Nothobranchius furzeri: one gene and its partners. The protein of the gene in region 3 interacts with the protein of the main gene of each other region in a biochemical or structural test. Links are inferred from orthologs where the notes say so. Each region holds a gene or a part of one and is shown on either strand. Other genes may lie near its edges.

Region 1 (4,315 bases), on a different chromosome or scaffold from region 3:
AGCACGCGAACCACAGATTTCCACAGCTTTATTTTTGTGCCACTCGCCAAAACAAAAGATAGATGCTAATATTGGATCGGCCATCTCTGGCAGCTGCGTCCTGTGCTACGGTGGAAAGGCTCTATTTGACTCGAGTTATTCCTGAAAACCAATTGTCCGAGCGAAAGGAGCATGGCGTGGCAGACGTGACGAAGGCTTGGAGCTGTTTGCTTTGATGTGCTGCATTAACATCTGTAGATCCGTGCTTATTACAGGGGGAACAATCCCTCGACGCGATACGGGAAGCCTAATAACCGCGCGGCTGTTAGCATAGGACGAAAAGAGCCAGGAGAAGACGTGTAAATGTCAACGTGTGTTGGCTGAGTGCAGAGGTTTCCAGCGGTGAGCTGGGAGCAGTCACTCAACCCTGCTGCTCAGGGTTGTTTGTAGTGTGTCAGTGTAGCCACTTGGTGTCATTGCACTAGGCCTTTGGAGAGCACCCAAGCAACCACTCAACCACCCCTCTGACTCACCCCTGATGGAAAGAAACTTCTCCACTCAAACACAGGACTCTGTATGAGGACTCTGCGCAGGGCCCCAATGGACCCAGCAACGTGGGTCACATTAAGATAAATAGATGTGCAAATCTACTATACCGGGAATAAGATGTTTATTATACAAAAACGTAAACATCGAGTGCTCCTGCTTTTAAAGCTGTTATAAACAAAGCATCATTTACTTTGTTAAAATACTGTTTAAATCCACATTTTAACAGCTGATCCAGAGTCTGCAAAACGTTTATTTTCATCCGAGAGGTGAATGAGTCATGTTTAAATATAGGTTTTTAAATTCAACTGAACTGAGACTTGTAGTTCAACTATCGCTGTCTTCTCCAAACTGGTTCACGCGTAATGATGCACAACTGGAAGCAACAGGAAGAAGGGAAGCCACGCCTCCTCTACGGCGTTACCAAGAGCTAATTTGAGTCTTGTTAAAGGTGACTCAGTCTGACACGGTGACTTCGTCATCGTGTGTGTTGCTCTGATGTCGGTTGTTTTTTGAAGTTGCAGGGTGACGTCTATCACCTGCGCACAGGCGCACCGCCCTTTATGCTGCTCCCGTGGTGCGTGTCTGGAAAAACAGTTTTCAGAATCCCACGCAAACACCATCAATTATTAAGAAACTAATGACCCCGGGGATACCGCCGCCCCTGATGTTTCTGAAGCCTGTGACAGCTGTGCTGGAGGGATGTTTGTCTAAATGTTGCACTGCTGCTTAGGTGAGAAAAGTCAACTTTGATGTGATTTTTGTGCATCAATCTTTAAGTTAAAGCATTTTTTAAGGTTGCAAATACCTTCGGAGCATGTCATCTGTAAATGACTAAACCTTCAGAAAACAGGGAAGACTCTGAAGTTCAGTGTTGACGATCTGAGTCATGTTTAAATATAGGTTTGCGCTGTCTGAGAGAGACATGTAAAGGTATGTCACTAATATATACCTTCATGGTGAAAGCTTCTAATCGTGTTGGCCTTGCTGGCGGCTCTCTCTGCGTGCTTCCCCATGCTCTTGGGCCGCTTAGTGCTGTGGTCTCCGTTCGCAGAGTGCATCCGGTAAAGGTCCACCATGTACTGGGGCACCACGGCTTGTTTGCTGGGGGTCGGCCTGCGTCTCAGCCCGAACATGTTGAGAAGCCGCAGCTCGAACTCGTTGAGGAAGCTCTCCGACTGCTCAGGGGTCTGTTTCCCGGATTCGCTGTACTTCCTCCGGCCTACCTCGGGGATGAGTCCCGCAGCACCTTCCAGCAGCACCTGAGCGAGCATCAGTACCATGAGAGAGCGGACCACGGCGACCATGATCAGTCAGTCCCTGTGGAGAAAGTTGGTTTCTGTCAATACACTGGCAGGCAATGTGGTATTGACGTGAGGTGGTCCCAGCTAGGCTCTCGCGGCAGCAGTTCCCAAATCCCCCCTCAGAGCGTAAAACTGAAGGGGAGCAGGTTAAAAAGGGGGAGACACCTCTTCACTTTGAAGTGCAGAAGAAAAAGAAAGAAAGAAAGAAAGAAAGAAAGAAAGAAAGAAAGAAAGAAAGAAAGAAAGAAAAACCCAGAGGCTAAACTGCTCCTCTAGTTTGGGTTGAACATGAACCCTAACATGAAATATCAAGGTGAAAAACTAATGACAGAGGTGGATTAAACAGACAAATCAAAGGATTTGAAGGGAAACGCTGCAGACAAAAGGTCTCCAGCGAGAAGAGATAAGAGATCTTGTTGCAGATATGAAAGTCCATGCAGAGAGAAGGATCAAAGGAAGAACACGCATCAGTTCCAGTCCCACTGCGCGCTGTTTGCATGTAATCATAAAGGATAGTTACTTCAAGAGGCTTGCAGGTGTTAGATCTGACGTGTGCCCCACAGCCAGGCATCAGAAACACAGACGGAGTCAAACAACTTCCACACAGACAACTTTTACCTCTATTTTCATTTTCTGTTTCTCCGTGGCTCAACAGGCGGAGGCTTTACGCACGAATTTATTATTAGAAACAAATGAGCTGTCACTTGTGAAGTGACCTTTCTGTGTTCAGTCCAAGTGCGGATTCAGGTTAAAACCTCCACATCGATGGTTATTCTTTATTCTAGCGATTTACCTGACGAGAACGCGCGGTGTCCGGTCGTCGTTCCACCTTTAAGCTCCGATAAATTCCACATTAATTCGTGTTTAATCCACGCTGCTTCTGCTTGGGGGACCGAAAACAGCCCGCGCCCTCCGCCGATCGCTTCTCGCACATATTCTCACCAGCTGCGCGTCGGGTTCGGGTCTTGCTCAGTCCGGAGAGGAAAGAAAAAAAGTAGAAAAATTAAGTCTACGAGGAAGCGGCTGCGCGCAGGCATAGCCGAACTAAGTGCGAGGAAGCTTGTCTGGACATTTTTAAAATTAGAAAAAAGAAAAGCTGAAAGTGGAGAAACGTGGAGCGTCGCGCGATGTTCGTGGAGAGATGAGCGCAGTGAAGTTGGTGCTCGGAGAGGGAGAGCTCTCCGGAGCGGGTCTATTGATTGGTGCCTTCTCTTTCCCCTGCGACGCTTTTTGTCCTACAGTGATGTCACTGGGCTGTCAGTCATCTGTCCAAACCGCACCACTTCCTGTGCGTAACTCCCGCAGGAGAAAAATCCCTCATTTCTAACTTCACAATGGAAAACTGTTTAAACTTTATTCCTCTCCCCTTCAGCAAACATCTACAAATGTGATTTGGATTAAAATCTGTAACAGGACCACCAAGAACAGGTGGAAGAGCTGGCAGGAGTTTATGAGCTGAGTTTATTACTACAATTTTTAACCAAGTATTTCCCCTCAGAATGTGTACTCAGCATATTTGAAGAAAAAAAAGTACTTTTTGTTTGCTTCTTTTGACAAACAAGTACTTTTGTTTGTTTGTTTTGCCAAAATAGATTCAGTGCATTTGAGATTCAAAAGGTTGCCAATGATCAAAATGCAAAATGTAGTGAGAAAAATGAACTATGTGGGACATTTGCAGTTATTAACAGTTTTTTCCTTTTAGCAAACACAACACGTTATTAAGGAATTACTTAAATCAACCAAATAGAAAGAATAAACAGGCTTCATCATATAATTTTACATTAACCCTTTGATGCATAATGGTCACTATACAGTGGACAGGTATTCAAAATTGTTATTTGTTTATTTTACAGCTGTTGAAGACTTTATTGCAATTGAGCTCCTTCATTTGGACTTCAGTAAGTCAAGCCAACATATTTCGTGTTCAGAATGCACGCTGTCCCCTGAGATGGACATGTAATAAATTATTTGTAAATTAACAAAATACTACAAATAATATTTGCTGAAATTTGTTTCATTCACACCTACAGATGAATGAAAAAAAAGTTTAAAAAATCATGGTTGAAGATTTCATAATTCATGCATCAAAGGGTTAATTTGTAATAAATATGACGAAACCAATTCCTTTCAACCTCTTAATTTCCTGTTATATGAACAAAATATCATTTTTTATCACTTTTAAAGGACAGTTGTGTTAATTAACTATCAAGTTTCTAAATGATCAAACTTGAGGTTTGTTGCCACGGATAAGAAAAAAAATCAATTCATTTGAAAAATGTAAACCCTAAACTGCTTTTAACCTGTTAAACCTGCAGCTCTTCCCAGCTGACGTCATCCGTCCAATATGGCGCACCTGTTGACATTTCTTTGCCATTACCTGAAACCCCTTCAACGGAAGGTCTAAATATGTATGCCTTTGCTTCACGAGTGAAACCATTTTGTATTTTAAGAATTATTATGAATCAGTGGAATAAGATAAAGACTGA
Region 2 (4,526 bases), on a different chromosome or scaffold from region 3:
TTAGATTCATTACACACAACTGAAGTAGTTCAAGCCTTTTATTGTTTCTAATATTGATGATTTTGGCATACAGCTCATGAAAACCCAAAATTCCTATCTCAAAAAATTAGCATATTTCATCCGACCAATAAAAGAAAAGTGTTTTTAATACAAAAAAAAGTCAACCTTGACATAATTATGTTCAGTTATGCACTCACTACTTGGTCGGGAATCCTTTTGCAGAAATGACTGCTTCAGTGCGGCGTGGCATGGAGGCAATCAGCCTGTGGCACTGCTGAGGTGTTCTGGAGGCCCAGGATGCTTCGATAGCGGCATTAAGCTCATCCAGAGTGTTGGGTCTTGCGTCTCTCAACTTCCTCTTCACAATATCCCGCAGATTCTCTATGGGGTTCAGGTCAGGAGAGTTGGCAGGCCAATTGAGCACAGTAGTACCATGGTCAGTAAACCATTTACCAGTGGTGTTGGCACTGTGAGCAGGTGCCAGGTGGTGCTGAAAAATGAAATCTTCATCTCCTTAAAGCTTTTCAGCAGATGGAAGCATGAAGTAGCTAGCTGCATTGACCCTGCCCTTGATAAAACACAGTGGACCAACACCAGCAGCTGACATTACACCCCAGACCATCACTGATTGTGGGAACTTGACACTGGACTTCAGGCATTTTGGCATTTCCCTCTGCCCAGTCTTCCTCCAGACTCTGGCACCTTGATTTCCGAATGACATGTAACATTTGCTTTCATCCGAAAATAGTACTTTGGACCACTGAGCAACAGACCAGTGCTGCTTCTCTGTAGCCCAGGTCAGGCGCTTCTGCCGCTGTTTCTGGTTCAAAAGTGGCTTGACCTGGGGAATGCGGCACCTGTATTCCATTTCCTGCACATGCCTGTACACGGTGGCTCTGGATGTTTCTACTCCAGACTCAGTCCACTGCTTCCGCAGGTCCCCCAAGATCTGAAATCGGTCCTTCTCCACAATCTTCCTCAGGGTCCGGTCACCTCTTCTTGTTGTGCAGCATTTTCTGCCACACTTTTTCCTTCCCAGAGACTTCCCAATGAGGTGCCTTGATACTGCACTCTGGGAACAGCCTATTCGTTCAGAAATTTCTTTCTGTGTCTTACCCTCTTGCTTGAGGGTGTCAATGATGGCCTTCTGGACAGCAGTCAGGTCGGCAGTCTTACCCATGATTGTGGTTTTGAGTAATGAACCAGGCTGGGAGTTTTTAAAAGCCTCGGGAATCTTTTGCAGGTGTTAGAGTTAATTAGTTGATTCAGATGATTAGGTTAATAGCTCGTTTAGAGAACCTTTTCATGATATGCTAATTTTTTTTAGATAGGAATTTTGGGTTTTCATGAGCTGTATGCCAAAATCATCAATTTTAGAAACAATAAAAGGCTTCAACTACTTCAGTTGTGTGTAATGAATCTAATACATATGAAAGTCTAATGTTTATCAGTACATTACAGAAAATAACAAACTTCATCACAATATGCTAATTTTTTGAGAAGGGCCTGTACAAACATTTCTAAATCAATGTTCTAATCTAAACATTAATCCATCTAATTATGCTGGACAGAACACAATCAATGTTATTGACTTCAGTAACATGCAATGTGATCTGGAGTAAATACTGCCAATTTATTTACTGTTTTGATACATTTAATTTTCCCACTGGAACTTACTACTTTATCTGAGTTTGACTCATCAGGTCAAAGATTTTATCCCTTAACAAGTTGCAGCTGATAGCTCCATGTCTTTGTTTACATTAGAGTAAGGATGGTCTGTGAAGCCAAATCTGTTAACAAGCTGATAAGCTAGGCATCAAATGAAAAGCTTCAGTTTAAAGTTGTCTGTAAGAATCATCTGATTCACACGCAGACAGGTCCTGCATCTTCTGACTACACGTCCCTTCTCAACAGCAGTCAGGTGTGTGGTATTTTTATTTTTAAAACACACAAATGTGGGTCACAATCTGCTACACACTCTCAGCGTTTACATCTGAAAGCATCAGACTGAAACAAAAAGAGGGGAACATTTACCTCAGAAAGCCTGACCCATTTAAAATCAAGATAAAAAAATCGATTAATCTCTATTTTTCTAAGTAATCTGATTAGTAACGTGATGAAAGTAAAAACACGTACAGCACGACGACTGTAATCCCCCTCCACAAACACTTTCGCTACAAGCTATTGGAATAATGACTGTTGGTGTGGGTGACATTAAACATGGTGACAGCTTTCAACACAGCGTTGAAACTGATGGATGGATGGCTGACTGACAGCAAACAGCTACAAAGCAAAGCAGCAGCCGAGCACAGATGTGGATCTGATAAAAACACAGCCAAAAGCTGATACATAAGCCATAACCCAGTGTCATTAAGCTACAAATGAGCTCTAAATTATCACCAAACATCAGCATTTTTATGAGAACTTAACGGAACAGTTTTGTAGTTTAAAATGATTAAAATAAGAAGTCAAACTCAAGTCGGACAGCATCGGCGTTGGACCAGAACGCTTCGGCGCAGCTAGCACCAACGTTAGCATTTTGCGAGAACTTGCGCAAACAAAGACACTTACCTCAATTCACGTCGACTCCGTGGGGCATGAACTGATGTCCAGTTAGTGGAGAAAAATGTGAAGTTATACAAATAATGTTTTCAGGACGAAAGCATTTGCTATCATCACAGAGTCGGTTTGTTGGTTAAAATGGGAGTTTGGCTAGGTTAGCCGTTAGCTAAGGCTGCCCACTTAAAGAGCTGCTCGAAGGTGGCCCAGTGCGCACATTTCTCCCCCGCAAGCCCTCAAGTTCCTTAACGTCTCCAGCTGTTTCCAAACACTTCAAAGTCTTAGCTTCCCAGTGACTCGGGACAGCCAAAAAATCGGAGCAAAAATCCTCCGTATCCGATCCGAACAATATCACGGAACATTAAAGAAGATCCAAAATGTCCACGAGAATTTATCAAGGAAATACAAAAGGCAAAAACGACCTCGGAACGAGGGAAAGCCTTTCCTCTGAAGTCTGTCGCGCCCAGATGTTTTCAGTCATGTTTCTTTCCGTGTTTAATCAGTGACAAAAAAAGGCGCAGCTGTGGTGGAAGTGAGCTACACGGAGGCTGGAGGAGCTCAGAAGGGGAGATTTCTTCTCTGCGACCTCTACACGCAAAAGGCAGCTCATCAGAAAGTCGCTCTCCCACCATCGCTCAGAGCCCCTCGACGATGCTTCGCTCTCTCTCCCAGACGGCGTCAGCGATTGGCCCCGACTGTCCACGGCCGCCCGGAACGGAGGTTACCCTTTAAAACGCGTCTCTATGCAGAATTAAAACAGCAGCTCAACAAATTGAGCAGTAGAAAGATATTTAAAGTTCTCATTTACATATAAACACTTTTTGCCTGCAACATTTGGCCCAATGTTACCTTAGAGCGCCCCCTGCTGTAAGTACATTTTATTGCAAGGAATTAAACCCTTTGCATGACTTGACTTTGTCACATTTCTCTAATGTGAACTGTAATTTCTCTGGCAATAATAATAATAATAATAAAAGTTAACTCATTGACCAGTTTTTATTATCCAGTACCAGTGCAAATGGTGAAACAAATTCTTGAAGGGGCGATGTGCATACGTATCTTCTACTTACCAGTTCAAAAACGACTACAACTCAGAAACAACCATCTAAAGAGCAAGTAACCCCTTACCAGAGTCTTACTCCACTCCAACTTCCTGTTTGAAAAATGCAACAAATGCAGTTGGCTGGCAGACCGAGAAGGCAGAACCGCTAACAAGTACACACAGGCTCACAACATTGTGACATCATATGGTACTAGCTGATGTCATAGTATACATCTTATGGGCCATTCCCATCTGTACCGGGTCGGCCCAGGCCGGGTAGCGTAGTTTTTACCTACAGAGGGTGCAACAGACAGATATAGGCAGAATATTTAAATTTCAACAAAGATCCAATCCAATCCAATCCTGGTGGTAAATCCTGGTGGTAAATCGGTGGTCCACACTTTTATCACCTCAAGGCTGGATTACTCAAACTCCTGCTTATACGGCATCAGTAAAGCAGCTCTTTCTAGACTTCAGCTGGTCCAGAATTCAGCAGCTAGGTTGCTGACTGGAGCTGACAGAAGACAACACATTTCTCCAATTCTGAAATCTCTCCACTGGTTGCCCGTGCAGTTCAGGATAAACTTCAAAATTATGCTTCTCACTTACAAATCCTTGAACCATCAAGCTCCTCCATATCTGTGTGAACTTGTCCATTACTACAACCTGCCGCGTGCTCTCAGGTCTGAAGATAAGCTCCTCCTAAATGTTCCAAAAAGCCGTGGAGAGAGGGCTTTCTCTGTCTGTGCACCGAAGCTGTGGAACGCGTTACCACTGCTAGTGAGGCAAGCACCAACAGCTAGCATTTTTAAATCACGCCTGAAAACTCACTACTTCAACCTAGCTTATACAACATAATTATGGACCTCACTGACATCTGCACTGTTTAAAAATGGACTCCACAATTATCGACTTCCGTATTATT
Region 3 (3,741 bases):
TTCACCCAATCACCCGTCGCATTTAGTAAAGTGAAGCCAAACTTTAGAGCGCGTTCGTGTTCTTCTAGTCGGAAAATCGGAGTTCCGAGGAGAAAGCGAACACACCATTAGCGGAACGGAAGCTAACAAATCAAGCTAACGTTATCTTAAACAGTTTATTTAACTGCTGGAGCAGATTGAAACGATGATGCCTCACACTTAGATCGTTGTCGCTGGTTTCATCTTCACCCAATCACCCGTCGCATTTAGTAAAGTGAAGCCAAACTTTAGAGCACGTTCGTGTTCTTCCAGTCGGAAATTCAGAGTTCCGAGGAGAAATCGAACGCACCATTAGCGGAACGGAAGCTAACATATCAAGCTAACGTTATCTTAAACATTTTATTTACCTACCGGAGCAGATTAAGATGAGGATGTCTCACTTAGATCGTTGTCGCTGGTTTCATCATCACCCAGTTACCCATCACATTTAGTGAAGTGGACCCAAGCTTTAGCGTGCGTTCTTTCTACCATGCTGCTCTGTTTACAACTCGCTCGCAGCGACCGACGACATAACGCTCTTGCGCATGCGCAGCTGTCTAGGCAAGTTCTCGTTATGAAGGACGGGTACCGAGACGAGGCACCGTTTCAAATGACGTGAATCGGTATCAGTCGGTACTGTGGAATTCGGTCGGTACCTTAAAAAGTACAGAATTCGGTACCCATCGCTAGCACCCAGTGACATTTTACCAATCGGTTCTATTTTAAACCATCCTTTTGAAATGAACGGACTCCATTTTTGGAACTCTAGTCCTTTGCTGCAGCAGCAGCTCTTCTCTGCTTTCATAGCAGCACCGTCTGTCCATGTTGTCTGCGTGACCAACAAGTAGGGGTCATTGTGCACCAATGAATGTGTCAAATATCCTCAGTCTGTCTAAATGCTGTACCTGAATAACAAAGCTCAACTCTGCTACCAGTTACCATAAGTCAGAAATCACAAATAGTCTGCCAAAAGGCTTAATTGCATTAAAAATATGTATTTCTGCAGGTATTTAGCTCTAAAAGCGACTAAAGTTCATACAGATCCTATTAAAGACTATAATGCGCCCTCTACAAATGCTTAGGACAGCTACATGATGCTCTATTGAGGATGTTTTTCCATAAATCAAGCATTCCCGAGATGTGAAAGCCTTGATCAAAGTGACTCCAAAATCCAGGAGGATACCTGAATTGGGAAGATCTTCACGGCCACGTATTCGTTCAGCAGCTGGGCTTTCCACACGCAGCCAAAGCGCCCCCTGGCTTTCAACTCAATGAGCTGCAGCGGTTTTTGACCCAGAACGGGGGATGGAGGCGAGGGTCCGGGATCCTGGAGGGAAACATGAGAGGAAAGCAGAAGATGGTGGTGTTAGAACAGGACTGGTTCAGTGTGAAGGAGACAACATGCTTCTATTGTTATTCAGCAAAATGACTTTGTTTTACAGCATTGCCACATTGCTGCTTGCTTCATATTTCTACTGGGAGCTTAGTTAAGGAGTTGCTGCATGTTTAGCTTCATCACAGTGAAGTTTAATTTGGCTGGGAGCATGCAGCAGACCCAGCAGGGTTTGGATGGGTTCGTTTTAAATTAAATCAAACCCCTCAGGGTGGCGTTTGCTTGAATTTACAGAAGCAGGGCTGAATCAGGAAGGTTGCCAATCTGGAACCCAAAGAGCTGCTGAGAAAAAAGCTCAAAAAGACTAGAAAGCATCGATAATCTGCTGGTCATTTGCAGCAGAATGAATCAGGATGTTTGTTTTGTTTAATTATAACATAAACTAACTTATCTTTTTTATTTGAGGAAAAAACTACTTTTGAACAATCAAATGGGTTGTAAACATGTCCTCAAAGGGGATTTTTAGCTAATCTTTCTGAAAGGAGAAAAAAGGCCTGAGGCTCTGGGATTCTTGTGCTGTCTTGTGTGTTCTTTGAAGAGCGTCCATAGTTTCCTGGTGATGTTTTGGTGATCGGGAAAGCCGCGGGATGACCTTAAGAAGGTCTGATGGGGATTTAGAGGTTTGTTTTGGAACATTGTGGTCAAGTTGTATGATTATTTTTTGAAAATCTTTGTGTTTCTGCAAAATGATCCTTAAAGGGACTTTACAGAGTTTTTAATTTTTATGCTCGTGATTGCCCCCTCAGGACAGAAGCGTAACGGCAGCTTCAATAGTAGGCTCGTGCACGAGGCGCGCATGCTGTACGTGCACACTCCTTAACAAAAATAACAGCTGAGACAGTCCCTTGTGTGTGTGTGTGTGCGTGCGTGCGTGTGCGTGCGCGCGCGTGTGTGTGTGTGTGTGTGTGTGTGTGTGTGTGTGTGCGTGCGTGCGTGTGTGTGTGTGGGGGGGGGCCCGGAGGACAGAGGACAGGAGAACGTGCAGCTAATTAATTAAATTATTTGGTTCTGTACCTTTCTCTTCAGCACAGCCAACAAAGGTTTATGATGGGTCAGTCCTCCTGCATGCTCAGATCATTCCCTTCCCTTGCTTGAAAAATTGTTCCAAAATGAAAGTTGAACCCACATCTTTTTTATCTGTGAATTCAATGCCGTTCGGCGAGTCTCAAATAAAAATTTGGGCATCTTACTGTAAAAAAATATACCATTAATGTAAAAAAGAAACTCTAAATAAACTATGTTCACACCCAGAATCAAACCCAGGTCTTCTGCACGAGAGTCCAACGTCTTACAAGGTGAGCTACACTCTAGTAACATTCACTGTATCTGTAACTTTTACATACTCGATGACAGCTGAAACAACGTCAAACCAAAGAACAGTTCGGAGTGAAAATGGCTATTTTGTTGTTAATTTGCAGGAAATATCTAGAAGAAAGTTCTACAGAAAGTAGCTAAGGGTCCTCAGAAATGTAGCTAGCTTTGTCACTAGGCGTTAGGAACAGCGACAAAGTGGCACTGCCTCTCTCTCTGCTGCTAAAGCTACGGATAGCAAATGCTACGGGCGATGCCTGAGCGTGAACGCGCATGAAGCAGCCTGCTCGACCCGAGCATCTCTCTTTTTCTGTGATTTTACAGAAAAACAGGCAATCACAGTAAAAATGCCAGGGCTCATTCTACAGGACCAGGGCATTGCAGGAGAATGTATGAAGAAGACATTTATTATTTCTATACATGTTTTGGCTGTCAAACTTCCATAATGCCCCTTTAAGTCCTAAACCTATTGGCTGTAGACTTTGGCCACAGTGTGACCTCATTTAGATGTTATGTATTCTTCTGACGTTGGATTTAGCAGAGATCGTCCATAAGGATTGTTATTTATGCAGAACAGACCAACTACTACTGAATTACCTTCCTCGAGGCTTCAATCTTTTACTCGCTGTTCTACAATCAGTCGACTCTGAAGTCTTCCAGACCTCAGGCTGACCTCCGCTGGTCTCGTTAGCTACCATTTAATGATGTTACAGAGAACGCTGCTGGACAAAAGCCCTTTGTTACTCTGCTATTGCTCAAAAATCCTTCTCCTGGTTCATGAACATGAGCAGTTTGAGTTAAACATCTCTGACCCGTGGAAGAGCTGTGGACAACTAGCATCTGACCTTTGTTGGATAGCTATTTGAACAACCTCAGTTTAGAGAAAGAGATGAGCTCTGCCCTGATTGATGAGCTAACAGCTAGTCACAGTGGTGCTCACCCAAAAACTGATTTTTGCAATTCGTGTGTGTGTGTGTGTGTTTTAGCGCTGTTGGCCAACTAGGGGTTGCTTCCAGTCA

What was found. The genes of interacting proteins can lie anywhere in the genome.
Region 1: the proteins of activin receptor type-2A (region 3) and bmp2b form a complex in vitro, tested with the Homo sapiens proteins (3 studies listed by BioGRID and IntAct, with this or other methods). The link is inferred for Nothobranchius furzeri from reciprocal best matches to the Homo sapiens genes ACVR2A and BMP2.
Region 2: the proteins of activin receptor type-2A (region 3) and erbin interact in a test that uses a peptide from one of them, tested with the Homo sapiens proteins (2 studies listed by BioGRID and IntAct). The link is inferred for Nothobranchius furzeri from reciprocal best matches to the Homo sapiens genes ACVR2A and ERBIN.

The regions. Positions count from the first base shown.
Region 1 is NC_091742.1:22,693,121-22,697,435, forward strand, and holds the start of bmp2b (bone morphogenetic protein 2b), read right to left. Parts: upstream 2,801-4,315; 5' UTR 2,623-2,800; intron 1,846-2,622; 5' UTR 1,833-1,845; coding exon 1,478-1,832; intron 1-1,477. UniProt on the Homo sapiens protein: Growth factor of the TGF-beta superfamily that plays essential roles in many developmental processes, including cardiogenesis, neurogenesis, and osteogenesis. Induces cartilage and bone formation.
Region 2 is NC_091746.1:65,311,435-65,315,960, forward strand, and holds the start of erbin (erbin), read right to left. Parts: upstream 2,801-4,526; 5' UTR 2,572-2,800; intron 1-2,571. UniProt on the Homo sapiens protein: Acts as an adapter for the receptor ERBB2, in epithelia. By binding the unphosphorylated 'Tyr-1248' of receptor ERBB2, it may contribute to stabilize this unphosphorylated state.
Region 3 is NC_091743.1:85,835,897-85,839,637, reverse strand, and holds part of activin receptor type-2A, read right to left. Parts: intron 1,346-3,741; coding exon 1,202-1,345; intron 1-1,201. UniProt on the Homo sapiens protein: On ligand binding, forms a receptor complex consisting of two type II and two type I transmembrane serine/threonine kinases.